Lonchura striata: one gene and its partner. The protein of the gene in region 1 interacts with the protein of each later gene in a biochemical or structural test. Links are inferred from orthologs where the notes say so. Each region holds a gene or a part of one and is shown on either strand. Other genes may lie near its edges.

Region 1 (15,881 bases):
GGAAAATAGAGGTGTAGTTCCAAGCTGGGCAGGAACCTGGACATCAGGCACACATTTATCTTGGGAAAAAGAGTGGAACCTTAGCGGGATCCATCAAGGCCACTGGGAAGCATCTTCAGACCAGCAGGAATGGATGCAGTGGTTGCTGAGCCTCCTGCTGTGGGTTGCTGTGAGGGTGCAGGAGGAGCAGCAGATGGAGCCATTGCCTTTAGGATGGCTCTGGCTGCAGTTCTGCCCAAAAGGAAGAGAGGCAGGGCTGGAAGTGCTCGTAGCGTATTTAATTGCTTTGTTATTACCAACTCTGATGTGTCAGGTTTGTCTTGCTTCTGTTTTTTTCTCTGTAGTGCTATCATTGAGCACACCAACAGAGTGATTTTCTTAGAAGATGATGACATTGCAGCTGTAACTGATGGGAAGCTCTCGATTCACCGTCTGGAGCGTTCAGCTAGTGATGATCCTTCCCGGGCCATCCAGACCTTGCAGATGGAATTGCAGCAAATCATGAAGGGTGGGTTGAAACATCTGTAAATTAGTATCATCAAAATGGATAGTTACTGTTTGTGTAGTAGATGAAGCAGAAAACTGTTAATTTGTTGTGACAATTACCTTATATGCAAACCGTTTGTACTGGGAGCTGACAATTCCAAGTTTTGAGACCAAGAGAGAATGGGCAGCCTGGGACCCTATCCATTTTAGCCTTGGAAAAGTCATAGATACTTCTATTCATTGCAGTATCTAGTGAAAATGTAACTAATGTTAACATGTTGTAGTTGTTGGCAAAGTTTGACTATAAATTAAGAATTGAAGGGGAGCACAGATGTTTCCTTATGAAGGAATTTATTTACCTTGTCAGTACTGGGAAATGGAACCTACCAGATAAAGTGACCTATCCATCCTTCTTTTCTTCTTGCTTATTCTAAGCTTTTATTTAGGCTAACACAGTCAAGTTAGTCTTAAAAGGTCTCTTGGTAACTGGAATAGATGTAAAGTAACAAACCTAAGTATTGTCATGTCATGTTTTTATACAGGTAACTTCAGTGCCTTCATGCAAAAGGAAATCTTTGAACAACCGGAATCAGTTGTCAACACAATGAGAGGCAGGGTGAATTTTGAGAGCAGCACAGGTAAAGGAGAACAGCCTTTCAAACTTCACTAAGTTTGAAATTTGTAAATATGCTATCTAGAAAATCAAAACCACCGTTGTATATTTATTTGTTTGCAGTTCTGCTGGGGGGACTGAAGGATCATCTGAAAGAAATCAGAAGATGCCGAAGACTGATCATTATTGGCTGTGGGACCAGTTACCACGCTGCAGTGGCTGTATGTTCCCAGCCTTGGTCGAAATGCATTTATAACTTAATTGCTGGGCTTTCAGACAACAGCTTTTCATCTGCTTTTTCTTCTATCTCAGACTTTGTCTTTCATTGAGGGGTCTCACCCTTTTATTTAGCTTTACTTATTGCCACATTCTTTATTAATGCTCCAATGCCATTAATTACCATGCTAGAAATTAACTTTTTCCACCTTGGTTTTAAAGTTCTGGTAAGCTGTACTTACCAGCTTTTCTAATAAGAATTCATTTAGATTTTCTCTGACCTGTAGAATGTCCAAATGTTAGTGGATGGCAATATTAACAAATATTGTGTTCTGCTTGAATACAGACTCGACAAGTCCTGGAAGAATTAACTGAATTACCAGTGATGGTGGAACTTGCCAGTGACTTCCTGGATAGAAACACACCTGTATTCAGGGATGATGTGTGCTTTTTTATAAGCCAGTCAGGTGAGCTGCATTTGCTGTTGAGTGAGCACTCTAAGATTGCTCTCCATTGCACTTTGCATCATGTAAGCGTGGGTACAGTTATCTAGAACACACTTGTGTAGGCTTTGATGCTTTTCAGGAATCATTACTATCTCTGCCAACCTGAAGTGAAGGTGTGAATGTTTTCCAGGTGAAACTGCAGATACACTCATGGCCTTGAGGTATTGTAAAGAACGCCGTGCTCTGACAGTCGGCATCACAAACACAGTTGGAAGTTCAATATCCAGGGAGACTGACTGTGGTGTGCACATCAATGCAGGGCCTGAAATTGGTGTGGCAAGCACAAAGGTAACTGCTGTTCAGTGTTTGGCTTTCACCCTTCAGCCCTGTGGAATACAACTCAAATTTTAATTGCAGCACTTCAACCTGAGATCATATTCACTCTCTGCAGAATTAGCTGCTAAATGGTTTTGTTTTGTCTGCAGGCCTATACCAGCCAATTCGTGTCTCTTGTAATGTTCGGCCTAATGATGTCTGAGGACAGAATTTCCTTGCAGAAAAGGAGACAGGAAATCATAAGTGGACTAAAATCATTGCCAGGTATATTGATATTTTGGGTTTGAGGAGGCATAGGGGATGTTTGCAGTGTAAAATACTACTCAGGGATATTTCTTTTTCATTTAAGTTTCACTCTCCCCCTCATCCTGAAAGGCAGACAATATGAGAAAAATGGACTGTTCATTTCTCCACTGTTTGCCAATTTTAAAAGTGCCCTTCCAAGAAACTTGGCAGGAAGATTGGAAATTTCACGGGGTGGGTTTTCTAATTAAAATAAGGTAGTTTTGTATGAGAAATATTACTTGATCTCCTACATTCATGATTTGAAATTTTTAAAACCTCCCACTTTAAATCAGGACAGATAAAATGAAACTAATTCAAGGTGATTTTCAAATGGAAATTTAACAACTTCCTTTAGAAATTCAAATGTGATTTATGAACACTGTTTAAACCAATAGTTGTTTTAAATTTATTACTGTAAGTAAGGCTGGAGAAAATATCCTTAAACTGCAGTCAAAGTTGCTAAGTTAATGGTTGAATTACATTAAGTGTATTTGTCCTATTCGATAATTAGAACATTCTGTACATTCTGTTCATTCAGTACAAATGAACTATTTTTTCCAGTTAAAAAAATCAATTTTTGTTTTTCTGTACCTCAATAGAAATGATTAAAGAAGTCTTGTCCTTGGATGAGAAGATACATGATTTGGCTCTTGAACTGTACAAACAGAGATCATTGCTGGTTATGGGCCGTGGGTATAATTACGCCACATGTCTGGAAGGAGCTTTGGTAGGAACTTCTCAATATTCTTTGATATTATTTAAAATAATATTTTGTGGATTCTGCAAAATAGGTTATTTCTATTATTTCATTACAATTTAATTCTACTGCAATAAAACTATTTATAACTAGAAGTATTTAAACATACACATAAGGTGAACCTGGATGTGATACCACTTTCTTGTTTCTTTCACATAATAAACACGGTGTTTAATTAGTCTATTTAAAATCAGGAAACTAGCAATTTAAGTTGCTGACCCATTTGAAAACATCAGAAACAGTGTGCTGATGTTGAGAAGAGATGCTCATGCATGAAACTCATTAATTATGTTATGAACACTGGTAAAATGGACACATACCCATCACTCAGAGGAGTTTGGTGTGTTAAAGGTAGACTGCAGTAGCCAAGGTTGTGCTGGGTGTTTGGTTCCTAAAATTCCTTGTTGGTTACTCCATGTGCATGGGCGAGCTCTGCTGCTGGCCACAGCCTGCTACAAACCCCAGCAGCCACCCGTGTGCTTTCACTAATGCTTGATGCTGGGTACATGAATTTAAGTGGCAGCGGTACAGTCTGGGTGTTTTGATTTTTGTGGCTCTTGTTTCTCAGCTGATTTAGTAATAATTTGAGGCTTTTTTTTTTTTTCCTAGAAAATAAAAGAAATCACCTATATGCACTCAGAAGGTATCTTGGCTGGTGAGCTGAAACATGGGCCTTTGGCCCTAATAGATAAACAAATGCCTGTTATCATGGTGATCATGAAGGATCCTTGTTTCACCAAGTGCCAGAATGCTCTGCAACAGATCACTGCTCGGCAGGTAGTGTTCAACTAATTAACTTCTCCTGTGTCATAGGAAAAGAGATTGTGCCCACTGCACTGCTGCTGACTGTGCACCTGGAAAGGGATGTACTGCTGATTATTGTTAATTATTAAGTTATAAATAAGATGCTACATCTGCATTGAAGGTTTTTATTACAGGTTAATATCAGCAGTGAAAACTGCTTTCAGATGGCTTGTTTGTTTTGGGGTTTTTTTGTTTTGAAGCAAATGGAATAATGTTAAATCTCTACAGGGTGAAAACATTCAAATCTTACAATATAGGGAAAGTCAAGAGTCATTATGCAAGACTGGCATTGCCTTTGTTAGCTACTTGAATGTCTTCAAACACATACAGGCATGCTGTGAACAATATTTCAAAGCAATTCTAGGCTAGCTCTTCACTTAACAATGCAAAAATTTATTTTCAGGGTCGCCCAATCATTCTGTGTTCTAAAGAAGATACTGAAAGCTCAAAATTTGCCTACAAAACTATTGAGCTGCCTCATACAGTTGACTGCCTTCAAGGAGTGTTGAGTGTCATTCCTCTACAGTTACTTTCATTTCACCTGGCTGTTCTCAGAGGATATGATGTAAGTGTTTTCTATATTTAACACTTGTTTTAGTGCAGTTTTGAATTTCCTTCTACCAGTATAAATTGACAGACACAGTTATATGGCATATCTAAGATTTACTAGCTATGAAAACAGCTAGTGAATCTCATAGTGAGTGTGCTTATAGAGGTGACATTTCAGTGCCAATTCTTCCATTTTGTCTTTTTCAATTAGTATCCTTCTAAAAAATTGCAAAGCTCTTTAGCTGTTTGGTTAGTTAAGAGTGCAAATGGGACTTTTCCAGGGAACCTAATCTTGAAATGCGATATTGTACTTTAACTTAAAATAGGTCAGTGCTTTGTACACCTTGGTTTGTTGATGTGTCAGTTTGACAATGATGACTGCTTTGGAAAGGTATCCTATGCAAAACGAATATGTTTTTGTTAGGAGGGTTTTGGAAGCACAGATGAATTCAGCTGCAAGTCATTACCTGCAGATCAATAGCCTGCTGTGTGTGTTAATGTGTATAGAATCAAACAGAACTCATTAGGAAGTCAGAAAAATCACACTGAAGGAACTTTCAAATGCAGAATGCCAGTATTACTCTGTCATACTGAAAGACTGTCTCTTCATTCCAGGTGGACTTTCCAAGAAATTTGGCCAAATCTGTTACTGTAGAGTGACAGCCAAGAACAGCTGATGTCTTTGTCACCAGACCTCTGAGTTATACTTGTATAATGTGTTGTTCTGAATTGATAGGTAAATGTTTTTTCTAAAGAGAATGATAGTGCTAACTGGAAAGTGTCAGAAGGATTTATCTTGCAGCTTTAAAAGCTTTTGATGTGCCTTGTACCCAAGTGCTTTTGCTCCCACCAAATACTCCTCTAAGTCCTGAAATTACCAAAGAAGATAAAAGTTGTTTACACATGGTATACTGAATGAACTTTTTTACTGTGCAATATATATATATATATACAGCTCTCTCCAGAGTAACTGTGAACATTTTTTTAGCCCACACTACATAACTAGTTTCAAAGATATAGTATTTATAAGTACAATTTGTATAGCTTTTTTAAGTTATTTTTTTAGTACATTGCTTATCTGTAACATTGGTAATGCTCAGAATGTAAACACTGAGCGTGTTGATACTTCTGTACAGTTATTAGGGATTTTCCTCCTTCAGCCTCAAACTGGAAATTTGTTGTCCCCTCTTCTTTCCCAGCTTCCCTTCCCCCATTGAATCTGTGTTTCATATTTAAAAAGTCATTTGCAAAGTTCTTCTGTGGCTGTAAATTCCCAGCTATGTTTTCAATTTCTGCTTCTTTTAACTGTTCTGAAAAGTCAGAACGACATTTGTTTTGTATGCCACCCTAGCTTTTATTTGCATAACATGTATACTGCAACAGAATAAGGGAACTGGATGTCTCTCAAGTGATATTTTTGTTTGAAGAGGGTACAATGAAATGACAATGCAATTAAAAGATTATATAATTCTTCTTACTTTGTGGTTTGTTTCTTTGTGTGTGTATGTGTGTTTGGGTTTTTATTTATTTCATTTTTGTTTTTTTTTTAAACTTGATGACCTTTATCTCAAGTCTGAAGAAAGTCCTATTTTAGTAGCATATAGATGTGCAAAAACACACTGATAGTTGTGAACCAACTTGCAGTAGTGAAGAACCTATAAACCTGCAAAAAAAAAAAAAAGGCAGATACACACAATAAGTTCTCTGCTCATTTGTTTAGTTTTTATTTCTAAATGGCCAGAAGGCATAGTATTTAATTTTTCTTCATTTTATTAACTAAAATGTAAAGTTAGTTTAACAGTAAAGTTTATGATATTCCTCTGCAGGCTTGGCTCTAAATGGAAAAAGTGTTTGAATGTTTACTTAAGAGCTTGAAAGTGTTACACTAGCTTATTATAATAGGATATACTTTCCCTAGTACTTTTAATAACAATAATAAAACCAAAATCATAACAAAAAATATACTACTAATGTGACCTAAATGCCAAGAATATGTAACTCTGTATCTAACATGTTTTGGCATGAAAAGGCCTGTTTTACTCTTGATCTAGAAGTAATATTCTCTTCATATTAAAAAGTGGAACTATAAAGGCATATTGAGGTCATCTGGTCTATTTGTGACATTAAATTGATTTATTTAAAAAATTACAGGTACATTTTTCTAAAATCATCTGTGGGAACAGAAATCACAGAAATGAAAGCGCTCATCAGTCCTAGGAGAGGTGGCAAATTGAGTTTATTTTTAGGCAGCACCTGTTTTAAAAACAAGCACTCCTCGTGTCGGGGCGGGGGGTACGTAATGGAGAGAAGGCTTCTGATTTTTGCGTGGGGTTGAAAATAGCTCCGGGAGGGAATGAATCCCTTCCCTCCGGAGCCATCCCTCGGGAAAAGCTGAGGGGAGGCTGTGCTGCAGGGCTATGGCAGCCCCGGGGTCGGGCCTGCTGTGGTGCGCTGTGCCGGGGTGCCAGGTGCCACCGGGAATGTCACCGCTGCCACTGGGCCATGCCACCGCTGCCACCGGGAATGTCACCGCTGCCACCGGGAATGTCACCGCTGCCACCGGGCCATGCCACCGCTGCCACTCTGGGGTGCTTGTGCAGGGCAGGGTTCGCCTCAGCCACGGCTTCTGCCGGCCTGCCGGAGCAGTGAGGAGCCGGCAGCAGGATGGGCGCCACAGCACTGCTGTCAGGTGACATCACGACTATCGTGACAGGCTGACGTCAGGCGGTGACATAACTCCCGTGGCGCCATGACGTCATGCATGACATCATGGCAATCGAGAAACGGTGACATCACGCAGCGACACCCCGCCGGGGGCGGGGGCCGAACTGCCCCGTCACTGCGGTCCTTCAGCGCCCTGCCTTATATAGTGGTCAGTAAGATCCACCCCCAAGCGCGATTGGCTGAGCTTCTCCGGCGGGAGCTGCGATTGGCCGGGGCGGCTGTCAGTCAGGGGCGGCGCCGTGCGGAGCGCCGGGAGGCCATTGTGGCTGGGGCAGCGGGAGGCGGCGGCTGGGGCCGGTCCCGCCGCGTCCGACCCAGGTGAGGGGGCGGCCGCGAGGGGCGTGCTGGGGCGGCGGGGCCGGGGCGGGACGAGCCCTGCGCCGGACGGAGCGCTCGGCTCGTCCCGCGGCGCGGGCAGAGCCGGGGCGCCCCGCGGGCCGCTGCCCGGGCCCGGGCGCGCTGCAGGGACGCGGGGCAGCGGCAGGGCCGGGCCCTTCCTCCTGCGGCCGATCCCCGCCTTCCCCGAGCCGCAGGCCCGGCCCCGCGGGGCCGCCTCTGCCCGTCCTGCTGCCCCGTCCTCCGTGCCGTGCCCGGCTCGGCGGCCCCGGAGCCCCGTCCCGGAGCGCAGCAGCGCCGAGCGCCGCGGGTCCCGCGGCCGCGGCCAGCCCGGGCTCTCTGCAGCCGTAGCGATTTCTTAGCAGAAGTTTTAGGAAAGATGCGGGAAGAATCTTCCTGCTCGCTTCCTACATGAACGGCGAAATTGCTTGCAGCACATGCATGTTTAAACTTTTTCTCTCTTTACACCAGCTTGCCCTGGCAGAGTTCTGAGATCCTTTCAGTGCGTCTGTGTGTAATAGCTGAATGCTATTCACTGTAACAGGTAGTGGTGAAATCTTCGTTTGGCCAGTAGTAATGTGGGCTGCTTAAAGAAAAAGGTCTACTTTCCAAGAGTTTTCAGTTGCAAACTGTCTCTGAACTGCTGTAATCCTTGGGGGTTACCCAGCTAGTGCTTTGTTACACTTTCGTTCTAAAGAGTCAGTAGAGGAATGAGGTCTAGCTCACTGTGATTTTGTAGTTGGACTATTTCCTTTTGATATATACTGCTGTAAAAATTAAAAAAAAACCCTTGATGCTATTGGGTGATAAAACTTAAAAGGGCACACCTGAATTAGAAATGCTTTAGCAAAGGTCAATAAGAGAATGGGGGGAGATTTTTCCATATGTTTTCATAAATACACGTGTGTGTGTATATCTATTCATTGTGAATATTGTCAGCAGTAGAATTTTAGCTTGAGGCTTAAAAATCCAGGCAAGCTTCATGTTGTTCTTGTGTTTTGTTGTCAGTATAACATTTCTGTAACCAAAACAGCCCTGGGAATGTGTGCCCAGTCTGTTTCATAAACTTTTGACTTGAAGATATCCAGAGTACAAATCTGGTTAATAATAAATTGCCATTTTAATAAATACATTTTAGGGAAGTATCTGTTTAATGCAGGATGCATTCTGTAATGCAGTTGCTTCCAGCTTCTAAAGATTTCTCACTGCAATTGTGTATAAGCCTACTACTGGCAGGTTTGGTGTGTTGGTTATTTTTCTAGAAGGAGAATAACAGGTAAATACTAAGAAACTTATTTGACAGATATACTTCTTATTTGCACAGCAGGAAATCTATTTTTATTTGTGGGTCTTGCCCCCAGAATGGATTGTCTGAAGTGCTGTGAACAGCTACAATTGCATGGCAGCTAATTTTACAGTAGTGGGTACGTCTGAAGTAATATATGTCCTGATGCATTCCAGCCAACTTGAAGCCTGAGTGAAAGTCAAGACTCATGGAGAGCTGCTTTGCAAAGAGAATTGTAAATGTGTTCAAATACATAAAACTTGAGTGTTCTGATATCCCATTTCTCTCTTTGGGGCTTTTCTAAGGAGCTTATGCTCATCTCCAAGTGATTTTTGCAAGGTGGCTTTGTGCAGACAGTGATTCTTAAAGGGAAGAGTTTTTCAGGATCAGGATAATTTTGTTTTCCCATATTTCTTTGTCCCTGTTACAGAAATTTTTTTCATTAATTCCTGAAGAGGTACAGCATTGTTCTTGTGTAGCTAAGAAGTTGATATCCTGTAACTTGGTATCTGTACTTTTTTGGTTTTGTCTCTTAAGTCCTTGCAGAGGAGGATCTTGACCTTCCAGCTGTACTTTTCTTACAATATTGAAGATTCAGTGAAAATACCATAGGTGCCTAGGAACTATTAATCAAAACACTTGGTACCTCAGAGTGCATAGCTGTGGAGTAATGAAAAGGGTTGGAAGGAAGGGTGTGATGTACCAGGAAAGTCTGGGAGCTGCCCTTGAGGCATCCTGTGGTCTCATGTTAGTGCTAGCTGGCTGTGGAGCTGCATCTGACTGCCTCTAATATTATTGTGTAGGAGATACTGTTTTCTTCCTCCTTCTCCCTGTGACAGAGCAGAAAGTTGGTAGCCCACATTCTCCCTTTGCTGATCCTTTCTCCTCTGCTTTTTTCCTAAAGCTTCTAAGAGGAAATGTCAGGTAAACTGACTGTCTAAATTATTGCCGGAGATGACCCAGTTGAATGTCTGCCTCTTAAAATGCTGCAGAGATTTTGAGAAACTAGAAGGTAAAAGGGACTCTAGACATTTCTTGAGAATCTCTTAAAACTATTACAGTTTGGTTTAAACTCAGTCTTTATTAGGTCTTGGAGGTCTTCCTCGTATTTTACTGCAGATTCCTTGAGTTCATCAGCTCACTTAAAACATGGAAAAGATGCTGCTGCCTCCTACATGCACTGAGGAAGACAGAAATCCTAATTTTTGAAGGAACTAAGTGTTATTTGTGTGGCTTTGTGCCCTTCTAGGGTGGGTGTCTGGGTTGTCCTCGAGGCTTTTCTGTTTTGCATTGGCTCACAGATACTCGGTGGGGCCAGTGAAGAGAGCTCTTCCAGTAACCAAAGCAGACAGCACAGAGCACAGATGCTCCGGGGGAAGGGGCTGCTTGCATTTCCTGTTTTAAGGAACAAGTTTCAAGTGATTTGCCTGTGCAAATCACTCTGGGCTCTAATGGCACTATCTGTCATAGTGAATGCAAAATTATGAAGGGGAGAATTTGTTAGAGAGCTCTTCAGCAATTACTGAGGTAATTTACTTGTAAGGTTTGGAAGAGGGATGGACACCCAGGAAAACTGTTGGTCTGTGCTCTTGTTACTGTAGCACTTCAGAGCTAAAGAGGTTGAGTCCATTACTGTACTCTCTGATGTAATTACTTACCTCTTACTCATTCTTGACAGATTAATTTAACTTACACTATTGTGGCAGGAAAGTCTTTTCTACACTGTAGCACAAAAGTCTTATTCTGTAGTACTACAAGGACCACAAAGTCTTATTCTGTAGTACAACAAGGACTCTGACTGATAGTGCAGGGTGTTGTGGTGTGTATAAATTGGGAAGGAGAATGTGTTGCCATAGGTCTGGATCAGGGAAGGGTTGCCTGGCAGAGCCCTCCTTGAAATTTCTTACTGAACAAGGCTGGCAGGGATGTTGGAGAAATTGCAGCAGGCACAGGGATTTGGGGGGCAGTTTTGTTTGAAACTTGTTTTGCTATTTTAATAAAGTCTTTTATTAAAACCCCATTTCCCTCTGTCCATGGACTCCATGGATGTCGGTTGTCACTTTTATCTGTATTCTCAGTGTTTGAATAACATACTTTTTGATTTTTTTTCCTGTAATGCAGAAATTAGTATAGTCCTAGCACAGAGCAGTAGTTCTAAGTTATGGAGTTGCCTTCAAGGAGTAGAGAGTTGTATTTGGGTGGTTTTGTTTTTAGTGTTGTTTACTTAGATGCTTTTTGTTTGAGGGATTAGAGTAGGAACACACATTCCCTTTAAGCTGTGAAAGCTGTAATTGCTGTCTGTCTACAAGTATATTTCATTAGTAGTGGTAATGCACAAAACTGAAAATGTTTGTTTATGAATGAATGTTTAATGGTGTGCTGTTGAAAAATTCATATGTATTAAAATATGTATAATATTTCCCATCTTGTCTGCATGAAATTAGTGAGATATTGAACATTTGTTTTCTTTCTTTTTCTTTAAGATCTTGAAAACTTTGCCAGGTCCCTGAGAGAGAAAACTACATGACACTACACCATGACTGACAGTAAATGTGATAGTCAGTTTTACAGTGTTCAAGTTGCAGATTCAACATTCACTGTACTAAAACGTTACCAGCAATTGAAGCCCATAGGATCAGGGGCACAGGGCATTGTTTGGTAAGTAATAATTACTCTATTTAAATATTAAAAGCTATAAATATAAAGCAAAGTTTGCATGTATTTCTGATAGAGGTACCAGAACATAAAACACTGATAACAAATTCTCTTGTTACAGGGTTATGGACTAAATAAATTCTAAACCAATTGCTTCCTATAGTTCATGTGCAAACCTCTTTTTTTTTGTTCTGTTTTTAGGGAAAATTAATATTTGAATAACTGCATAAATTAGAATGGTAAACAAATTTCTTCCTTTCTCATTAATCACTTTTTTTCTCTTTCTAGTTCTCCCATTGCCCTTGTAGTTTTGACATTGCAGTGTAAGGTATTACAGTGATGAGAGATTCTGGGTTTTACTCGTTTCTTCATCATGGCCCCCTTTCTTCCCCCTCTTTTATTCCCAATCACTCCTGTCCATTTCTAGGAGCCATCAATGCAGTGCCTTGCCATTAACTGGCAGGATGAGGCAAATCAGTGTCATTGTCACTCCATGGATTAACCAGAAAGGGATGCTGTGTGAGGGGCTGGGCTGGCCTGCTCTCCCTTGGTGTGTCACCCCAGCTTTGTGTCCAGCCTCCACTGGCCCAGGACGTGGGAGTCTTTAGGCTGATCCTGAACCTTAGTCTCTTGTATGGCACCACACCTCTGGGCCAGCTAAAGGTAAACACTTTCAAATGTTTTTTAGACTGCAGCAATCCATTCTGCACAATTTAGTGCCAGCCCATATTTTGTTGGGCAAAACTTACTTGGTAACAGCAGAAATGTTTATTGATGTGGGTTTTCATTCCATAAACAGGGGAGCAAACAGATGTACTCAGGGACTCTGTGATACTGACTTCATCACAACACATGGTGGGCTGTTCATGCTCTGAATTCCAGGCTGCAGTTTGTCTTCATCTATAAAATCTGCAGAATAAGTGTGATGACTCATGTGCTGTGAACAGCTCCTTAACAACACCTGCCCATGTCTTCTTGGCCTTTTCATAATCATAATAAGTTATATAAGTAGGGAAAGAGTGCATTTCTGTGAGACCATGCATTTATTTTAAAAATTTTTATCTACCCCTCTTTCCCTGCTGATCGGTGACAAGCAGTCAAAATGAGAACACCATATTTCATTCTTTTTCAGTGGGTTGAGTGATGAGGGGGTCCTAGATCTTGGTCATATAGGATTTGGGAAAGATTTAGTATAGTACTGACATTCTCTAGGTGTTGGTGTTATCAGAGCTATGCTTGGTTGAGATGGCGTCCAGGAATTTGGGTGCTTCAAAGTGTTTCTCCTTTCAGTAGAAGCAGAGCATTTTTAAGCCAAATTACTTGGTCTGGATCTCTGCTTCAGAATTAAATGCAAGTAGTGATAAGGTCATCGTGTTGGGAGGAAGAAGAAATTAGTTGATTTATTGACTTCTTTTAAACTACTTGATTTATGGAACAGCAGAGTGAAACATTGCATGAATTTTCATCTTCATGTCAAATAGCTCAAATTGAACAAGGTGCAACAGCTTAGTTTCTCCTAAAATCTTTATGCAAGGGAAAGATACATTTTACTTCCCAGTTTTTTGTAGAAAAATCATTGTAAGATGAGTGCTATCCTGCTATGTTTGGCTGAAAAAAATGTCACAACATTAGGGTAACACACAGATGTGATAGCTCTTTTATCATCCCATGTTTAATATAAAAAATAGGAAAAGTTTTTCTGTGGTTTTCTGTCTAGATTTAATTTATTTTATGAGGAATTCTTAATACAACCTGTGTCACTTTAGCTAGGAGAGGTCTAAATTTATGCTTTTTTTCTCATTATATTAGTGGGATACTCCATTGGTATTGCTCCATGTAATTTTAACTGTGATACTAAAATGTTGCAAAATAAGTAGTTTTAAAAATATATATACTTAGGGAAAATGGTAAATGAGAGCTCTAGGAAAATGAAAAAGTAACTCAGTTTTTATGTTGAGGATATTTCTAGCTCACACAGAACACAGGCCAGGAGAGAAACTGGATATACCTTTTGTATTTTATGTACAAAGTACACATACTTAACGGACTGCACTTTGTTCCGAAGTATTAGTACATCTAAAGTCTGGTAATCCATTTTGGACTGAATCAAAATAACTTTTGTCTTTAACTTCCTGACATCTTTTTTTTCCCTTTTTGTCCTTGGTTTCCTAAATCTTCTAGTCAATCTCCAAAATAAGAGATTTAGGTGGAGTTCTTCATATTTGCTAAGACTGAGGCTTGTCATACATCTGATTTATCAGATCACAGAGGGACACTTCCCCTAAAATTATTCCTCTGTCTGCTGCTGCCCTGTGATTTACAGCTAATTCATGCAGACCCTGATGGTTACTGATTTGATACTAATTCACAGGTATAGCCATTAAGATATGGAAGTCATTAAACATTAAAGGCATTAACGTATAACATTTAATTTACATGTAACATCTTTTGGGTGAATACTGAAATATCAGTGCTTTCATGTTTGGGAGGAAAACAATTTCTCCAACTGTCTGGCCAGTTGCTTTTCTCCCACTCTGAGTTTCCTTTTGCACAGGCATAAAGGGTTTAAATCAGAGACTTACTGTAACATTCAGCAATGACTTGTGCACTACACAGAAGTAAGCTGAAATAAATGGTAGCAGGTCTTCAGTGTAAGTGGCATGGTTGTTCAAACTGGGAGGCATGTCCCAAGAAAACACATCTCCTGGGTGCGCCCTGCTTTGTGGTGGTATTGCTTTTTTCCAGGAGGGAAAACAGTGACTTCATGCTAGGAAACTTGATATAATTTGAGTATTGTACTCACAGAGAAGCTGTACTTTTTGTTAGAATACTGTAGTGTGATGGCCCTTTTAAGTCTGGTGTCACATATAACTTGATGAGATAGGAAAGGATCTCACAAAGAGCTTAAATGTGCTTGGAAAAAATGTGAATGAGAATTCTTTCCTACCCTATGAAAGTAACATTAAATGGAAATAGGGTAATGTGGGAATCCTTATTTAAAACTGTTTATAGACTGGAACTTCTGAGTATCACGTGCTAGGAATTCACATATATTTTGCCAAATAGTCTGTGTTACTAATGAAGACTATTCCCACTTTAGTCTTGTCTTGTTTATACAGAACTTTAGCTTTAGATTCTTTCAGCTATTAAAGTAAGTGTAACTTTGACCTCAAACTGCAGAGGGAAGGAAGAAACACAAGTGAAAAACAGAGTAAATTTAATGGTCATGGTCACTTTTAAACTCTTGTATTCCTCTCTTCAGTCTGAGTTTTCCTTATTTCTCAATTCAATGCATTTTTTTCCATCCAGCAGATAATGAATGCAATTTTCTGCTAGGCACTATATTTTTTTATCATTGCAAACTATCCACATACAGGAGAATATTGATCCCATGATCACATCATGGAGATGTGGTTGTGACTCTTCTTTAGCTAAAAGAAATTTCTGCTGTAAATACTAAATGATTGTCAGTCAGCAAAGTGTCCAAAAAATACTCCAAATATACAGATTAGGCTGCAATGCTTCTTGATTTTTAAACAAGCCTAAAATATTTTTAGATCTTGCAATTTTGGTTTTGAGTCTCAAGTCAGCAGTTTCAAGCTTGAAAACAAAAAGGAGAGCAGGAAGACTTTGATGAATGTCAGTGCTTCTGTTTGACTTACTTGTATTTATTAAAGATTGTGTAGTTTTTAAAGGATGTTTCTTTTCTGAATTAAAATCAGGTGTAGTACCAACAAGCTAGTGGGTATACTTTGTCTTAAATCTTGATTTCTTTCCTTCCTTACTCTGCCTCTCTTTTGCCCCCTCCTCTCCCTTAAACAGACTTCAACTTGTTTGTCTTTGAACACTTGTAGTGCTGCATTTGATACAGTGCTGGGAATCAATGTTGCTGTGAAGAAGCTGAGTCGTCCTTTTCAGAACCAAACCCACGCCAAAAGGGCCTACAGAGAGCTCGTTCTTCTAAAGTGCGTCAATCACAAAAATGTGAGTTGGGCTTTGTGTTCTCTCCTTACTCTGCCTTATCAAAAAAGCTCAGGGTTTGCTCTCTCACTTGCTGTTAGTAACCACAGGAATGGAAATAGAGATGGGCTGGAAAGATTTGCTGTGGGCAATGCAGTTCTCCACAATGTATGGCTCAGTTTTTGGGTGAGCTGCTTGGGGTCTGAAGTACCGAGGGGAGGAGGTCCTGCTGCCATCAGTGTCTGTTAGAGACCAGGCCTTGCTGGGTTGCATTTGTCCTTTTAAGCTACGTGCAGCAAAGCCTGTTTGACACTGGGGTGGGTTGTGGGTTTGACCATTGTAACTCTTCTGAGTTTAGGCAAGATTTTATTAAATACAGTGTTTAACTGCTGAGGTTTTCAGGGCTACAGCACTGCCTACAAAATGCTA
Region 2 (16,935 bases), on another chromosome or scaffold:
GAATAATCACTTATAAATCTTATAGATATATGTTATACATATAAATGTGAAATAGAATTTTTGGAGTTCGCTTGAGTTAACAAAATAAATTAAGCATTTAAATGTTAGCTTGTACAATTATGCATTGAATTTTAACCTTTTACTTAAGAAACTTCTGCCATGATACAAAGGGCATAGGAAAATGCAAATTCCTGAAGCTTCTTCCATAAAGAACAACACCGAGGAGACTAGGAGATGCAAAGAACCCAGATAAAGGGGCTCCTCTGTCTCCAAGCTTATCAAGACTGACTGATGTACTCAGATAAGCACCAAAGAACCAAAAACACATGCACAAAGGAGAAAACTTCTAAAGTTCAATCATGATAAAGACCACAATCTTCAGCCTCAGAGACTGAGATAAGTGGAAAATCATTTGTTCACTGTGATATGCTCGCTTACCTTGGTTTGCATAAGAATGTACTGGTGTGTCTTTGAAATGCTTATTTGCTTACAAGGTGATAAGGAGGTTGAGATTAGAGTCCTGGGTGTGTGTATCTGGTCTGCTTGCTGTATCTCAAAAGAAGAGACTTAGAAGCTATCACAACGACCAGACTCAGACTACATCTGGAGAGTCACGCCTGCAAGGAGAAGGGGGGGGATAAAAGGAAGGTTGGGACAGAACATTTTTGCACGCCGTTGGTGGAGCAGGAGACTCCCCGGCCGCCCAGCGCTGTGCTTTGCCTGCCTTACTCGCTTGCTATTTTCAATAAAATTGCTTTATTGGATTAAGACACTTCAAATTGCCGTGTCACAATTTATAACAGAGACCACTGAGAGACCCTCATGTGACCACTCCAGCAAACCACACATGCCCAGAAGGGCGTGGCTCTATTTAGCATGAGAGGCGAGGACAGATGGGGCCAGGGGTTGAATATGCATGGGAAGGTTGTGTAATGTATTGCATATGGAATAAAGAATAAAGATGTGGGTAAGACTGAAGCTCGGCGCACAAGTTTTTTGAGAGATATCTCACTTGTGCCGGGTGCTGACACACGTATACCCACTTCATAACTACATCAGGTTGTGGAGTCTATTTATTATGCGTATTGCTTCAAATGTTATACAAGAATAATCACTTGTAAATGTTAGAGATAATAATATAATATTGGTTTCCACATTCATAGATTAGCTTTTTGCATCACAAGTATTCTGATAGGGTATAAAATACTTACTACTTTGTATAGTATAATCTGTCAGTTTATGTATTCACTGTATAGTTCATACGAATAGTAATGTGTTAAATATATCATAGACTTTAACAAAATATTAAAATAGACACTAAAATACTTCTATGTAACTAACTCAGAAAATGGTGTAAAGCAATTATTCTCTTTCTTACATGTGCGGATTGGCCTCTCCAAGTGTTAAGATAACAGTGACAAGAAACAGAGCATAAGCATCCAGGAAAGATTTATTGACTCCGTGGTATCAGGTAGTGTGAAACAACAGGATAGAACTACAGGAAGAAATAAAATATATGGACCTAATCTACAGAATGTCCTGCAGACAAGTCAGAGGTTAAAACTTTACGAGAGTTCCTGGAACATCAAAAACTCAAAGGAATGTTTAGTGATGTACAAATTAATTGTGAGAAACACCTGCTCACTTAAAAAATTTTAAAAGGTTTATTCAACCTTAGCAAAAATATAACAAAAATACTAAATAAGGGGGAAAAAGCACCGAAAGCCTCCTGTGGCTGCCTACAATGTGGCTGACTCGTCTTCAAGATGAATGCTCTGCCTTTTATACCTCTAGCCTCTCCTAGAACCTTGTCGATCAAGTCCTTCCTTGTCCTTTCTCACATTCGGATTGGAGGTCAGGTGCTACCATAGCAACAAGCCGACCTTCCCAAATGCCCAGATTACCAAAACCATCCAAATAACACATACTGGGGGGGAGCACATTGCAGTAACATAATGTCGTGGTTTGACACGGAAAGATAATTTTTCCCGGAAGGAAGAGGTCAATTTAGATATTGACCAATTGAAAGTAGACACGCCTCTGAGAACACAGAGGGGTTGAAAGCAGAATTCCCAGGGGAACTCGCTCTCTTTGGTTCCGGTCAGCGTGCAGTGCAGACCTTCCCCCCCCCAGCCACGAGCTGGGTGGGGGAGGGGAAGCCCCCATGGCCTGATGGAGGTAACTCCGAAGGGTGGAGGGACTGGAACCGGGCTGGCCCCTGCAGATGGAAGGGTGGAAGAAATCTGGGATGTCTCCATTTCCCCCCCCCAGAGTTCCTCTCCCGAGAGGGAGAGAGAAAGCCGCAAGGAAGGAGGAGCGGGGGGAGCTGCAAGGTGCCCAGTTGTGTGGGAGTTGCTGGATGTCCGGGCATCGAGCCATCCTGGGAGTTCGGACTTTTAACCCTTTCTTGAGAAATGGAAGCTTTGTGAATTTTCCTTTCCCCTCCTCGGTTTGAAAGAGAGGAAGAGGGACACCTTGGACCCTGGGATGGGATGTTGAAAGGAGGAATTCTGGATGGGAGGGGGACAAAGAGTGGCTTTTGGCTGGACTTTTCCATGTTAGCCACAACCTGAACCAAATCTTCTCCTTCAAGAGGGACTGTGTTTTGGGAGGATGCCAGTGAGTCGAGAGACCTGCTTCAGCTGAGAAAAAGACAAAAGTGGAGTGAACAGAGGAAAGGTTAGGGGGTTTGTGGTGGCGCCCCCTTGCCCTGGAAAGGAAAAGAGAAGAGAAGAGAAGAAGATCTCTGTTCTTGAGCCCTCGGCCCCAGGGGAAAATGGGGGGGGACTGTGGTCCCAAACAAGGAAAAACTGAACTGTTGTTTTCTCCCCTCTTGGCAGGGCATCCTTGAAAGGAAAAATCCTAAAGGCAGTCTGACCATCCATGCATTGGTGGTGAGAGCACTGTGCATGGAAAGGAGAAGGGTCACCATGGCAAACTTTTTCTCCGGGCGGTGCCATGTGTGACATGGAAACACAGGATGTGGAGCTGTGTTTCTTGGGGGGGGGGGTCTGTGGCACAGGAGAGACTCTGTTCCCTCGATGGACTGAGTATCGATTGCTTGGAGGGTGGAAACCTGATTGGGGTCCAGATTGTGTCTCACTGTGGTTTGTTGGAGTTGGGTGGTGGGGGGAGGAATGTTTTACGAGGTTTTCATTTGATCTTTGTGTGGTTTTTTTCCCCCCTTCTTTAGTTTTCTCTTTTCTTTAGTAGTAGTAGTTTAATAAAGTTTTTTTCCTGTTATTAAGCTTGGGCCTGCTTTGCTCTATTCTAGATTCCACTTCACAGCATTCAAGGTAGAGATCACATTTTCATGGGGGCACTGGCATTGTGCCAGTGTCAAACCATGACATTTGGTTCCCTGACCGGGAAATCGATAAGATAAGATCAGATAAGATAAGATAAGATGGTGATAAGGTGAATGCTGTGAAATGGGATCAGGAGGAATAAGAGCAAAGCATGTGTTGGGTTTTGAGATGAATTGGGGTGGAGATTTAGTGTAAATTGCTGTTTTATGTAGAATGTGTTGAATGTAATTTTGATAATGATTTTTTTTTTCTTTTGTAGTCTGTGTTCTCAGAGGCGAAGGGTGGAATGTCGTGGTTTGACACGGAAAGATAATTTTTCCCGGAAGGAAGAGGTCAATTTAGATATTGACCAATTGAAAGTAGACACGCCTCTGAGAACACAGAGGGGTTGAAAGCAGAATTCCCAGGGGAACTCGCTCTCTTTGGTTCCGGTCAGCGTGCAGTGCAGACCTTCCCCCCCCCAGCCACGAGCTGGGTGGGGGAGGGGAAGCCCCCATGGCCTGATGGAGGTAACTCCGAAGGGTGGAGGGACTGGAACCGGGCTGGCCCCTGCAGATGGAAGGGTGGAAGAAATCTGGGATGTCTCCATTTCCCCCCCCCAGAGTTCCTCTCCCGAGAGGGAGAGAGAAAGCCGCAAGGAAGGAGGAGCGGGGGGAGCTGCAAGGTGCCCAGTTGTGTGGGAGTTGCTGGATGTCCGGGCATCGAGCCATCCTGGGAGTTCGGACTTTTAACCCTTTCTTGAGAAATGGAAGCTTTGTGAATTTTCCTTTCCCCTCCTCGGTTTGAAAGAGAGGAAGAGGGACACCTTGGACCCTGGGATGGGATGTTGAAAGGAGGAATTCTGGATGGGAGGGGGACAAAGAGTGGCTTTTGGCTGGACTTTTCCATGTTAGCCACAACCTGAACCAAATCTTCTCCTTCAAGAGGGACTGTGTTTTGGGAGGATGCCAGTGAGTCAAGAGACCTGCTTCAGCTGAGAAAAAGACAAAAGTGGAGTGAACAGAGGAAAGGTTAGGGGGTTTGTGGTGGCGCCCCCTTGCCCTGGAAAGGAAAAGAGAAGAGAAGAGAAGAAGATCTCTGTTCTTGAGCCCTCGGCCCCAGGGGAAAATGGGGGGGGACTGTGGTCCCAAACAAGGAAAAACTGAACTGTTGTTTTCTCCCCTCTTGGCAGGGCATCCTTGAAAGGAAAAATCCTAAAGGCAGTCTGACCATCCATGCATTGGTGGTGAGAGCACTGTGCATGGAAAGGAGAAGGGTCACCATGGCAAACTTTTTCTCCGGGCGGTGCCATGTGTGACATGGAAACACAGGATGTGGAGCTGTGTTTCTTGGGGGGGGGTCTGTGGCACAGGAGAGACTCTGTTCCCTCGATGGACTGAGTATCGATTGCTTGGAGGGTGGAAACCTGATTGGGGTCCAGATTGTGTCTCACTGTGGTTTGTTGGAGTTGGGTGGTGGGGGGAGGAATGTTTTACGAGGTTTTCATTTGATCTTTGTGTGGTTTTTTTCCCCCCTTCTTTAGTTTTCTCTTTTCTTTAGTAGTAGTAGTTTAATAAAGTTTTTTTCCTGTTATTAAGCTTGGGCCTGCTTTGCTCTATTCTAGATTCCACTTCACAGCATTCAAGGTAGAGATCACATTTTCATGGGGGCACTGGCATTGTGCCAGTGTCAAACCATGACACATAACTATACAAAATTTCTTTTAACATACATATAATGTTCACGCCTTAATTGTGAGATTCACTCATCTATAACATAATGAATATGCATGTAACCCCAGCAAATTAACTGTATGTAGAGAACATGATTTTAAGATACTCGTGTGCTCTTTGGCTGTTCACCAAAAAAAAAAAAAAAAGCACTCCGATGCTGAATTCTTCTTTTATCCTTATTAAACTTTTTAAAGTCTAGAAAGTGAACTCTGTTTTTCACATAAAACCTGGTTTACGTAAATTCTTCCTCTACCACAACTGTCATATGTTACTCTGGTCCATCTTTTGTTGTAGAAACAACACCTTGAATTTCAGCTCAGTACTAATTAAAGGGTAGATTCTCGGTACTAAAAATAATATATTTTCATTAGTTGTGTGCCATCAAAGTAGAAACTTAATGTTAGGATCCCCTCTGCCCCCCAGGGAACTCTCTCCCCATCTGTTGCCTAAGAGATGATAATGACCAGCACTTAAGAGAGACAAAAGAAGTGACTGAGGAGGGGAGAAGGAGTGCAGCTGCCTGCTGATTTAGCCGGGGGCTTTTCTCTTGGAAGGACAAAGATAGCTGGAGACTTTGCTGGGGGGTCAGGGGGCTGGGCTTTGCCGCGGCCCCGCCCCAGACCCCTGTCCCCAGCCCCGCCTAGCTCTCCTGCGGGGCGAGTAGGGTGAGTGGAAGCACCCGCCACTGTACCAGCTGGGCTTTGGAGAGTGCTTTGCGGGTCCTGAGGGCGCTGCTGATTCCAACGGCGAGGAAATGAGGAGAGGCACTTGTTGGGGCAAAAATCCGATGTTTATTGAGGTCCTGTGGATCCAACAGCACCGGAGGGGGCCAGCCAACAAGAGCTACTGAGGAGTGCTGGCAACATGTTCCATAGGGAGAGGGAGGGGGGCCGATCAGCCAGTGGGGAACAGACAGGAGTGACTCTGTGGGGATGGACATGGGGGGATCCAGTGAGGGGGAGACAGGGGAGGGGTCCCAGGCCCTCATCCAATCACTCGGTGCCCTGGATGGAAGTTTCCAGAGGTAGGGGAAGGGGCACCGACTGACAGACAAGGCACTTGGGAAAGGGCAGGGGACTGACTCGGCACCTTCCAGGGAAACCGACACTTGGGGAAAGGCAGGAAAACTCAGGGAGAAACCAATACAGTATGGGGGTACACTGGAACAAACCATGACAGAATAAAGATGTAATAAAGCATATAAAAACACAACTCCACAGGGCTTGGCTCTTCTCTTGCTCTCAGGATCAGAGGGGAACAGTCGAGCTGCTGCCGCCGTGTGGAGTCCAACCTGTTACTGCTGTGAAATACAAAGTTGTGTTTCATGACAGGCACATAAAGGCAACCTGTGCAGTTGTGGTTACGAAATGTGTGGAAGAAGGCCATGAGACAATTATAAAGATGAGTTCTAATAAACAACCGAGGAAAGCATGAAAGAAGGCTTTTGAACCAGTTTTTTGTTTGCAAATAACAATTATAAGTCTTGTTATAGATAAAAATTGATCCAGCCAAATTAAAAATTAAAAAATAAAAATTGTATTATTAAGATCGAATTATCTCTCAGCCAGCCACAAGGAAACAGACAGTGCCGAGCCCGGGATCGGGACTGGGTGTGTCACAGAGCAGATAGCCTCAGCAGAGGTTTCCCCGATGCCCACACACCACCCTCCTGGTACAAGCAGGCAATCCGTCTTTTCTTCACATTCAAAGTCCCACATATTCATAAAGTCTCTTTCCTCTGTGTTGGGATGGAACAATTCGGTGTCCAGTGCTGATGAATCTTCTTGATGGAGTTACGGGAACACGGCATTCAGATGTATCAACCAGGAGGATTTCAGTGATCCCGATCTAGAATAGATGGTTGCTGGATGATCAGCACCTGGGCGTTCCTGTATCACCTTGAGAAACGACCCATCTGTGGGTGAACCCCATGTATTAGTTTGCAAATGAGGTTTTGTCAGAAACCGGTTTTCGAATATGTGGGGGCACCTCCCAGTGCCAGCATGTGTACTTCCAACAATATAAAATATTACACTTATCATATTATACTGGAACGAATTACACTGACTACATATAACAGTCTTGAGCTGTTTTGCGATAAGAACTTTTGAATTATAACTTTAGAATGTTGCTTAGTATTAAAGTTATTAAACTGTAGCTTTAGAATGTATAACTCTTAACCTGTTTTGTAATAAGAGCTTTTGAATTATAACTTTAGAATGTTGCTGAGTACTAAGGATTTTTAAGCTGTAGCTTTAGAATATAAATAATTTAAACAGAAAGGGAAGGGACCCTATCCCAAGCTCCTGGAGAAGGAAGATGGACATCAAGGTTGCTGATAGATGATTTCAAAATGGGAAGTTGGACATCACTACCATAGATTAATGATCCCCAAAAATAGAAGTTGGACCCCACCATCTGGACACACATACTGGGATATACACAATAGGTTATAGAAATTGGAAAAGAACCAAATATCACCATCATGTTGATGATGAGGTATAGAATTGTGATGTTAAAGGTAGAAACGGAAACTGTTGAAAGCTCATGTAGAAACTGGGAAAAGCTTATGAATCTGCATTACTATGATCAATAAATACCAGCAAGACCAACAACCAGTGTGCAGTGGGAGGGGAAAACCCCCACCACTGTACCCTGCGCTGTGTTTGCTCATACGTTACCATATTAATTAATAATTTGAATTGCTGCTTGATATATTGGCTGAGTCATGTGTCTCATTTCTAACACTGCTTTCTTCCTTACTGTGGGTGAGCATCTGCTCCTAAGAGCAGCCATTGAGCTGGAACCTTAGTAATGCCTGATCTGACTGGAAAGGATCATCACCATCTACTAGGGTGCCACCAGGGAAAACCCAGGACCCCTGGAATCCTGAGGGTGTGTCTCCTGGGTATGTGTGGCAACTGCTATGGAGAAGCCCAGCTGCTGCTGCCCAGCCCACTGCTTTCTGCCACTGCCTTGGGCTTTCGTGCTACACCCTTACCCAACACACTGTGTCCACCCAACTATTGCAGCTCCTGCTAAAGGCTGCAGTTTTCTGCTACATTTTTTTTGTCACCCTGGGTGACGAACTTCAGCCGTTCTAGCCAGCGCTCCGAGATTCCTGCTACAGCCCATTTCTCCATCTGGACGGGCACCAGGACTGGCTTCCCCTGTGGGTTTGTAAACAGAGCCCCTTTTCTCTCCGCCCTCCCGGCTGAATTTCCATCACCGTGTGGAGAAGCGGCTGACCTTGCGCCACGGCGCCCCCTGCAGCCGGGGGGAATCACTGCATGCGCACTGCCAGGCCAGGAGCCACCAGTGCCCCTGCCGGCTGTGAGCAGAACTGCACCAAAGGGGAGGGTGTCTGCGGCTGAGACAAGGCTGTGATTGGGTTTCTGGTATTTTGTTTGTTGTTGCTGCTGCCATTGTTGATGTTTGTTTGCCTTGTTATACATATATATCTATATTTATATCTATATATCTACTAGTAAAGACACGCTATTCCTTTTATCCTATCTTTTCCCAAAAGACCCATAATTTCAGAGTTATAATAATTTGGAGGGAAGGGAGTCACATTTTCTCTTCCAAGAGAAGTTCCCACATTCCTTGGCAGACACCTGTCTTTCAAACCAAGATACCTAAAAAATACTTATTCTTTCACAAAGCGAAGTTCCACCTGTCTAAGGGAAAAAAAATCCCCAATAGTTAATTTGAGGTCATATGGTTATTGCAAAAGAATCCTGATTTTCCTTTCATAGTCTCAGTGTTTCTATCAATTTCTCACTCCTTGTGCCTTTACTTTGCCTACTTGGAAAGGTAAGCTCTTCAGCAAAGTGCCCTTGCAGCCATAACACAATTGCATATGTATAGCACAGTCAGTTTTTAGTTTGCTTTTAGTGCTAAGCAAATAACAACTTGAACTCCTATGCTAGATGCAATAAACCCCCAAAAGGGTAGAATAAGCAAATATTTTGCTTGCCAACTTTGACCTGGAAGTGGTATTTTAATTTTTTCTCATGCATGGCAGCACCTAGCATTCCTGCCATTTCTTGACTGATCTCTAGACTTGAAGTTATTTATGAATTTATAAATACAGGAATGTATCTTTTAGTGATTGATTTAAGTTAAGGCAATCACTGCCTTTCAGCAGGAGCTTTAACACAGTCACTGGACCTGAACCAGGATTCTGTTGTAGAAAGGAGGATGCACTTCAACTGATATCCCCTCCCCTCAGGGATGCCTGCTAGACCTGTTGGGATTACAATCAGAAGAGTGGGTAATGCTATGAGCTCATCAGTCTCTGTGGTTCAACAGGCTTTAGTTTGTGTCATGTCCATTGTGTCAGTTTCTTATGTATGCGGGAAAAATGCAAGAAAACTTTATAAATGTTTTTACATGCTCTCTAGGTTACAGAAGATTAGAAGTTCAGTGTAATATGGAATTAGTGAATTAGTGAATCAGTGAATAAGTCTTACCTCTTTGCCTGCCTTGCTTCTCTCCCTGTTCACCTGTATATTTTTATTCAAAATATTTTCAATGCAATCTTGCATTTAATAAAGCACACTCTTGTGTTTGTTGTAACATAGAACAAAACAGTCATAAAACTTAAAATTCTTAATTATAAGTGAGATGTGATATTCCCACTGCAATTAGGCTTTCTGGGTAGGGTTAAAGTTCTTTCCCTTTTTGCAGTATGAAGCTTTTAGGGTCATTGCTAGTCACGACCTTGGAATTACACTCTTCAGGGCTCTAAGCCAAATGAAGGTGTGGGAAGCCTTTTCCAAATCAACCCCTTATTTCTTTCTCCTGCCAGGCTGTTCTCAGTTCTCAGAGAATAATGATTCCTGCTGTCTTCTTCCAACTCTACAGCCCAGCTGAGCCCAGGATGTGGCAGACTCTAACTTCTGTGACACCTGTTGAGGGTGCTGGAGGCTACCGCCCATAATTTGCTGGAGCTGCTGTCCGTAATTTGGTGTGTGTTGCTGTTGATTTGGGAAATCTGATTAAATTCGGTGGTTGTGCTGAATTTTCTTTGAAGACTTGAGATGGCCATATTTGGCCCTCTGGCTTTTTCTTCATCCCTGACTGAACAGATCCTTGTCTGCTTTCTCTGTAGTAACTACGGCTGCTTCATCTCGGAAATACGACTACCGCGGCTGTGACGGGTCTCTAACGCGGCTCCCGGAGCCAGCGCGTGTCCGGGATGCGGCGCGACCCGGGCCCGCGCTGGCCCCCGCTCGGTGTCTGCGCGTGACGCCGCAGCGCGGGGCCTCGTGCGCCCCCATCGCGCCTCGCGGGGCCCCGGTGCGCAGCGCTTTGTCTGCGCGGGGCTCGCGACGGGCCGCGAGCTGCGCCGCCCGCGGCTCCGGCGCAAGAAGCACTGCGGCGCCCCGCCTCCTCCCAGCACGGGCAGCTTGCGTCCCCGATCTAGCGGCTCTGGGCGGTGCCGCCGCGCTCCGCCCCGGCCGGTGCCCGCGGACCTTGACGCGGCGTGCGGGGCGGGGCAGCGCCCGGTGGCGGTGTCAGCAGGGCCCGAAGCGGAGGCGAGCGGAGCGGGGTTGAGGGCTGTCGGCCGGCAGGATGCTGGAGATCCAGCTAGACGATGGCGGCGTGGGGGGGTATCCGGGCGATGATTACTGCTCGGGGTCGGTGATGTCGGAGCGGGTCTCGGGCCTCGCCAACAGCATCTACCGCGAGTTCGAGCGACTGATCCACTGCTACGACGAGGAGGTGGTGAAGGAGCTGATGCCGCTGGTGGTGACGGTGCTGGAGAACCTAGACTCGGTGCTCACCGACAACCAGGAGCACGAGGTGGAGCTGGAGCTGCTGCGGGAGGACAACGAGCAGCTGCTCACGCAGTACGAGCGGGAGAAGGCGCTGCGCAAGCAGGCCGAGGAGGTGAGCGCCGCCGCCTCGCGACTGTTTTGGCCACGGGCGGGGGCCCCAGTGCAGGGCAGTGGGAGGGCCGAGGCGGTGGCGGGGGCGGCTCAGGGCTGCGGCCTCGGCCGCCTCTCGCAGACCTTCGACCGACTGCCCGCTCCCCCGCGGTGGACCTGGTTCAAAAGGAGGCGGGGGGGGCGGCGGGCGCCCCGGGGCATCGGTCGCCGGTTCCTTCTAGAAGCGGAGGGCGGGGGCGGGACCGGGCGAGGCGCATCCCCTCCCGCGGGACGCGGTGCTCCTGTCCCCGGGACGGCCCCGGCAGGCCCGGCCCAGCCCGGCTCCTCCGCCGCCCCGCGGGGCCGGGGCCACTGCGGCTGAGCTGCCCCTGACAGCGGGAGGGAAAAAAGCCGAACCACAAACCGCAATAGCTGCAATCCTGTGGAATTCTTGAAGAATTAGGATTTTAGTTTGAAATGCCAACAGCATCCGGAGGGGTCAGCATAATTTGTGGTGTAAAATATAGTTTTTAAAATGGGTAATTTGTGTAGTCATCCAGCATTCTCAATGTCGGCTGTAAGCTGTTTCGTTGCAGCAAGGAATTGCCTTTAGAGTATAATATCTTACTTTTGAAGCTTATTTGTATCAAAACTGTGCCTTGAGTTTTAATAAAATCGTTCCCAACTCGGTATCTGCCGTTTCCTGGAGCGTGGATGCGCTCTCGGGAGAGCGGGGGCAACGTTGCTCAGCTGGTGGCGTTGTTTGGAAGTGGCTCATGAGAAATCCAATCCCTCTGATGGAGAGGAAGAAGAATCCTCCGGTTACAAGGACTCGGATGTAGACAAGACAGAGGGGAGGTGATCTGCACGCTGTCATCTTGCTGCGTCTGCGCCTGTCCCTGGTGAAATAGAACATCCTTTCAGCCTTGAAGGATGGGGGCCATAGGGATTGCTGTTCAGCTTCTTGGAGTGACAGTCTGTGAGCTAGGATAGAGCTTTGTTGCTGAAAACAGTCCATCCTAACCACATCATCCCCACCACATCATCTCCTTTAAACTTCTTTAGAAGTGGGGTTTTTCTGTCTTTAAGACTAAGGAAGAGCAGAAGATTTAAGATTCACTTGATTTCCTAGGAGTCAAGTTCTGGTTTGATATGGGGTAATTAATAAAATAAAATAAGTGGTAATAATGAAATAGTTGTTGAACTGGAGAATGGTGTAAAGCAGATGTGAGATTTTCATAGACATGTTTGTGTTGCTTAATAATCATGGGCAAGAAAGTTGGTAACTCAGTGGGGAGGACACTTGTCGTCCATTACTAATACTGAAAGCAAGAGCCAGTCAGTTAAAAGTTTCAGTCCCAAGTTTTAATTATGTATTAATAGATTAGTAAATGATCATAAAATTCTTTTGAATGCTTGTAGGGGTCAAAAATTATTCTAAGTACATGATGCTTATTTGTGTTGTGTAGAGACAGCATTTTGCAGCTTCTGAGAAATAATTTTTAAAATTTACTCTTTATGGGAAAAGAATGGGACTGCCAATGGGGGTTGGAACAGTCCAGTTGGAATCATCTTGCGTCTTTTGACTGGGGTGCATTTCTGTTCTGGTCTTAATAGATACAGGATGTGTTTTCTGGAAGCAAATGTACTGATGGCAGTTAAATTCCCCGCAAGGAAACTTTGGAACCATGGCAGAATACCATTTACCAATGGTGTTTTTAGAGAGTGAGATTTAAAAAATGCCAGTGATGATGATGATGAAGAAGATACTCTGTCATTGTTACACATAGCTCAGTGTAAGTGGGAGAAGTGTCTGCAAGGAGGCTTGTTATCAAAAGGAATAGATAATGTGTTTCTTATGAGAATAAATGAGAATTCTGCCTCTACAAGCCCTTATTACAAGGTCGTACATGGAATACATGGCTGCTGTTTTCCTCCATATATAACAAAGTACATTATTTCTCTGTACCTGTTTATCCCATGCACTGTTTACTCTGCAGTAAATTGTGTGTTATGGGGGTGAAAGTCTATGTATGACAGGGAATTCTGCTGGCTACCAGGTTATTGTACACAATCAAAACCCAGAAAACTTTTCTTCTCAGAACTTGCATTGCTGCTCTGAAACACTGCCACAGTGACCAGGGACTGTCCATGCCACCTCTCCACCAGCATCAGTTTCCTAGGCTGTGACTCAAGTCTTGGGTGGGATCTTCACTTCTAACTGGGAAGATCCTCCCCTGGAAACAGGATTTGACCTTAGTTTTGATTCCTCTCTGTGTATGCGTGCCAATTACTACAATTAAATTGACACTGAGAGGCTGGAGATGAAAAATGGATCTGTTCTCTTGCAATATCCTGTCAAAGGACCCTGAGTTATAGTTACTTTATATTAATTTATTAAATTCAAAGTAACTGGAACCACAGGTGGGCATTGTTCTGGCATTAAAATGTGCATTGTATTGGCTGATTACCACTGTGAAGAGCCATCACACCTTGCTGTTCATCTTTATGCAGCAGTTGTGCACAAACAGACTGTACAGGTATGGTTTGTTAAATTAGGGCTAATACTACAATCATAGAAACACAGAATAGTTTGAGATGGAAGGGTCCTAAAGATCATGTAGTTCCCACACCCCTGCCACAGGCAGAGGAACAACCTCCTTTTCATTAAGGCCATAAAGGAATGTTTCCTTTTGAAAATTACTGTCTTAAGACAATTCTGTATGTTGTCTTTTAAATCAATCTTTGCCAAAAACAAATGAATGCATTACTTTCTAAATGCTTAGGTTGTAGGGATTCCATGTTTTTCACTTGTCCTAAAATAGGGCAACAGAAACATCTGGGCAAGTGGATTTAGAATCGAAGTTCCTTAGCATGAGGCAGTGCTGTCAGTTGCTGTCGTTACGGAGCTCAGTACAGATTATTGCAATTTTCCATGACCTCCCAGCTACTGAAGATCTGGGATTGCACCAGATTTTTTGTGATTTTGTTTTCTTCCATCTGTTTCATACGAACATAGAATACATATGTGTGAATGTAGGGCCATTATTGCTTTTGCGGTGTGGTGGTGTGTGGAATCACAGACTCCTCTTGTGTGTCTTTGATCTCCTGAGATTGAATCCCCCACCCTTGCTCAGTCAGGGGCAGCTGGAGCAGGTTGTCCAGGACCTGCTTAGACTCTGTGCCTTTGTTTAGAGAGTTCCTACAATTGACAGTGGCTCACTGCATTGGCCTACTATCAGCACAATGCCCCATGTGAAAGGTTGGCAGTGTTAGGATGCTGAGCACTCCTTGCCTTACAAAACCTGTAGCAATAAAACTGAATGGGATTGTAAGCTAAAAATCAATTTAGGCAAACATCTGGGGAGAGCAATTTGAAAGGATACTCCAAGTTTGGGATGGAAGATTTCTTGCATCATTTCACTACTGTTTCAGCGAAACAAATTTACAGAAGACATTTGAAGACTGTTGAAGAGGACCAGAAGAAAGAATCTCAATCACTTGCTCCTTTGTTGTGTGACAAAAAAAGAGGGGGAGATGTGGGAATCCAGGGCATCCCTCTGGCTGCCCTGGAAGGCCTGGGACCCTGGCAGGGGGTCAGGAACCCCCCTGGACAGTGCCCCGAGAGACACTGTCTGTGATCTCTGTCCATGGAAAAGAGTTTTCAATCTTACAGGATGAATTACAAGCTCTGAGTGTTTTATATAAGTAATAATTAGTGTGACGGGGTGCAAAAGTAGAATTTTAGGATTCTAGATAAGGGGTTAAAAGGAGGCAAGATGGAGGAAATTTGGCGTGCCTTGTCCTTTTTCTTCTTCTTCATGTCTTGCCATGTTTCACTGTAGTGCTGGCATTTTTCTATTGGTTTAGACTGGGGACACACTCTTCAACGTAAGTGATAGATATTGGCACGTTATTGTAAATATAGCACACATAGTTTCTGGTACATAATGTTTGTAACATCCCACTGAGGGACAGAGCCCTGCATGCTGTCCTGCTGCAGGGCAGACTGAATATGTTATAGATAAGCAAGAATAAACTACCTTGAAAACCAGCACAGATGAATTATGACTTCTCTGGCAGCGGGGCTGAAAGATAGACACTTTCTACAATCTCGGAATAATTTAAATACCACAGAGTCTGTCACCATCCCATCACGTATCTTCTAATGCAGGACTAGGGTTGATGTTAATACAAATAACTGTAAGGAGATGATAATTCCTTCCTTCCCCTGAAGGTGGACTGGGAGCCATTTGTTGGGGGATAACTCAGTGATGCCTTTTCTCTGTCCAAAGTGAGGGTGGTGATCTACCTCTGCCAGCAGCAGGAGTGTTGCCTGCCATTCTGGATCAGGTGCTGCCTCCCTCGCTCCTGCCCACAGGATACCAGGGCAGGGACTGCTCTCTTCCCTTTCCTGGTATCTTGACAGTGTTGTGGCAGTCTGCTCTTTTCTCTTTGTCTCATCCTTTGTGCATGGCTCTACAGGTGAAGGGCAATGCAGGCTTGGTTGGCTGTGGAGTGGGGTGACAGCACGGGTGGAACTCAGGCTGGCAGCCAGGAGGCATCCTGAAGGATTTAGAATGTCCTGCACTGTTCTGGGGACCTTAGCTTATCAGCCAGTGCTGACTTTGAGCTGTGGAGGTGTGTCCTGCTGCTGGTTTCTCCCCAGCTGGTCTGATGAAGGTTACCCAATGCACACTGAGAGCTGAAGTACAAATGCTTCGGGGTTGTGCTCCGAGAGATGCAGAAGGAGCTTGTCCCTCCCTTGCCTTTTTTTATCTTTTCCCCATCAGAAGATTGTGTGCAGAATAAAATTTTTTGGTGAAAACTATACATGTGTCTAGCTTACTAGAGGTGATGTTATAGGACATTGGCTGTTGGAAAGCCACTTGCTATAAACATATGATCAGTTATTACAATTTTTCTTAACAAATTGTATGAATTCCTCACTGATGGGATGAAATGCATTTAGAGACTCTTCTGTTTACAAGTTCTGTTAATTTAAAGGAATGTAACAGACAGTTTGTGATTCTGTTTTGCAATAGAGACTGGCCATATGATGCATATTGCTAAATCACTTCTCTGTGAGGAATCAGGCTTTCCACATATAATGTCAATTAGTCCTTGCTATTTGGTAACCTTTACTCTCACTAATCTTGGAGGGGAAAAAATCTGTGTCCAAACACAGATCCTTCATACAAATCCTCACTCAAGCTCATGGCAATTACTAATATTCATAAATACCAGCATGTTATTAAAAATTGCCTTGAAAGTAGAACAGTAAAAAGCACTGTGAGTTGCAATTTATTTAAAAAGCAGTTCAGGGTAATCTGAATATCAGTTGATAATGATGATTAGAGGTGGTGGCTAGGTTTCTCCTCAACAGGGTTAACTGCATAAGTCAAATTGTGATCCATGGGTAAGCTTTGATGAGAAACTTTTTTCTCTGGTGCAGTGGAGCAGCTACTGCCTGGTCCCTTTCTGTTCACAGCTCTGCAGGTTGATTTGTCAATGATACTTTCGGGATTTCCTCAGGTATATGTAGGCAGAAGTTACTACTGGAGTTTCAGGAAGCAGTTGTAAGAGAAAAGCCAAGAAGACTGTGAGGATTTGGCTTTACTACCATTGCAGATGGATGGACCTTCAAGCTCATCTTGTTCCAGCCCCTGCCATGGGCAGGGACACCTCCCCCTGGACCAGGTTGATCCAAGCCCCATCCAAACCCTGGCTTTGGACACTTTCAGGGATGGGGCAGCCACAGCTTCTCTGGGCAACCTGTGCCAGGGCTTCCTCACCCTCACAGGGAATTATTTCTTTGTTATATCTAACCTCCTTCAGTTTAAAGCCATTCCCCCTTATCCCAGCAAGACTGGAGAGGGATTGCAATAACTGAAGTTTCAAGAAAAACCCCCAGTCAGTCTTCATTTATCTGAAAATGATACAATCTTCCATCTAGCGCAGGCACCTTGGCCGCTTTCATTCTTTTTCTTGTCCACTGGGAAGGATGCAGATGACCCACATCCCCATCATCATTGGTTG

What was found.
Region 2: the proteins of MAPK9 (region 1) and MAPK8IP3 form a complex in vitro, tested with the Homo sapiens proteins (2 studies listed by BioGRID). The link is inferred for Lonchura striata from reciprocal best matches to the Homo sapiens genes MAPK9 and MAPK8IP3.

Annotation. Positions count from the first base shown.
Region 1 is NC_134617.1:7,225,065-7,240,945, forward strand, and holds the start of MAPK9 (mitogen-activated protein kinase 9), read left to right. Parts: upstream 1-7,409; 5' UTR 7,410-7,534; intron 7,535-11,320; 5' UTR 11,321-11,373; coding exon 11,374-11,495; intron 11,496-15,346; coding exon 15,347-15,476; intron 15,477-15,881. Other genes in the region: GFPT2 (glutamine--fructose-6-phosphate aminotransferase [isomerizing] 2), read left to right, coding at 345-508, 1,029-1,124, 1,223-1,320, 1,662-1,782, 1,952-2,109, 2,247-2,361, 2,982-3,109, 3,749-3,916 and 2 more. UniProt on the Homo sapiens protein: Serine/threonine-protein kinase involved in various processes such as cell proliferation, differentiation, migration, transformation and programmed cell death.
Region 2 is NC_134618.1:1,659,916-1,676,850, reverse strand, and holds the start of MAPK8IP3 (C-Jun-amino-terminal kinase-interacting protein 3), read left to right. Parts: upstream 1-10,467; 5' UTR 10,468-10,600; coding exon 10,601-10,918; intron 10,919-16,935.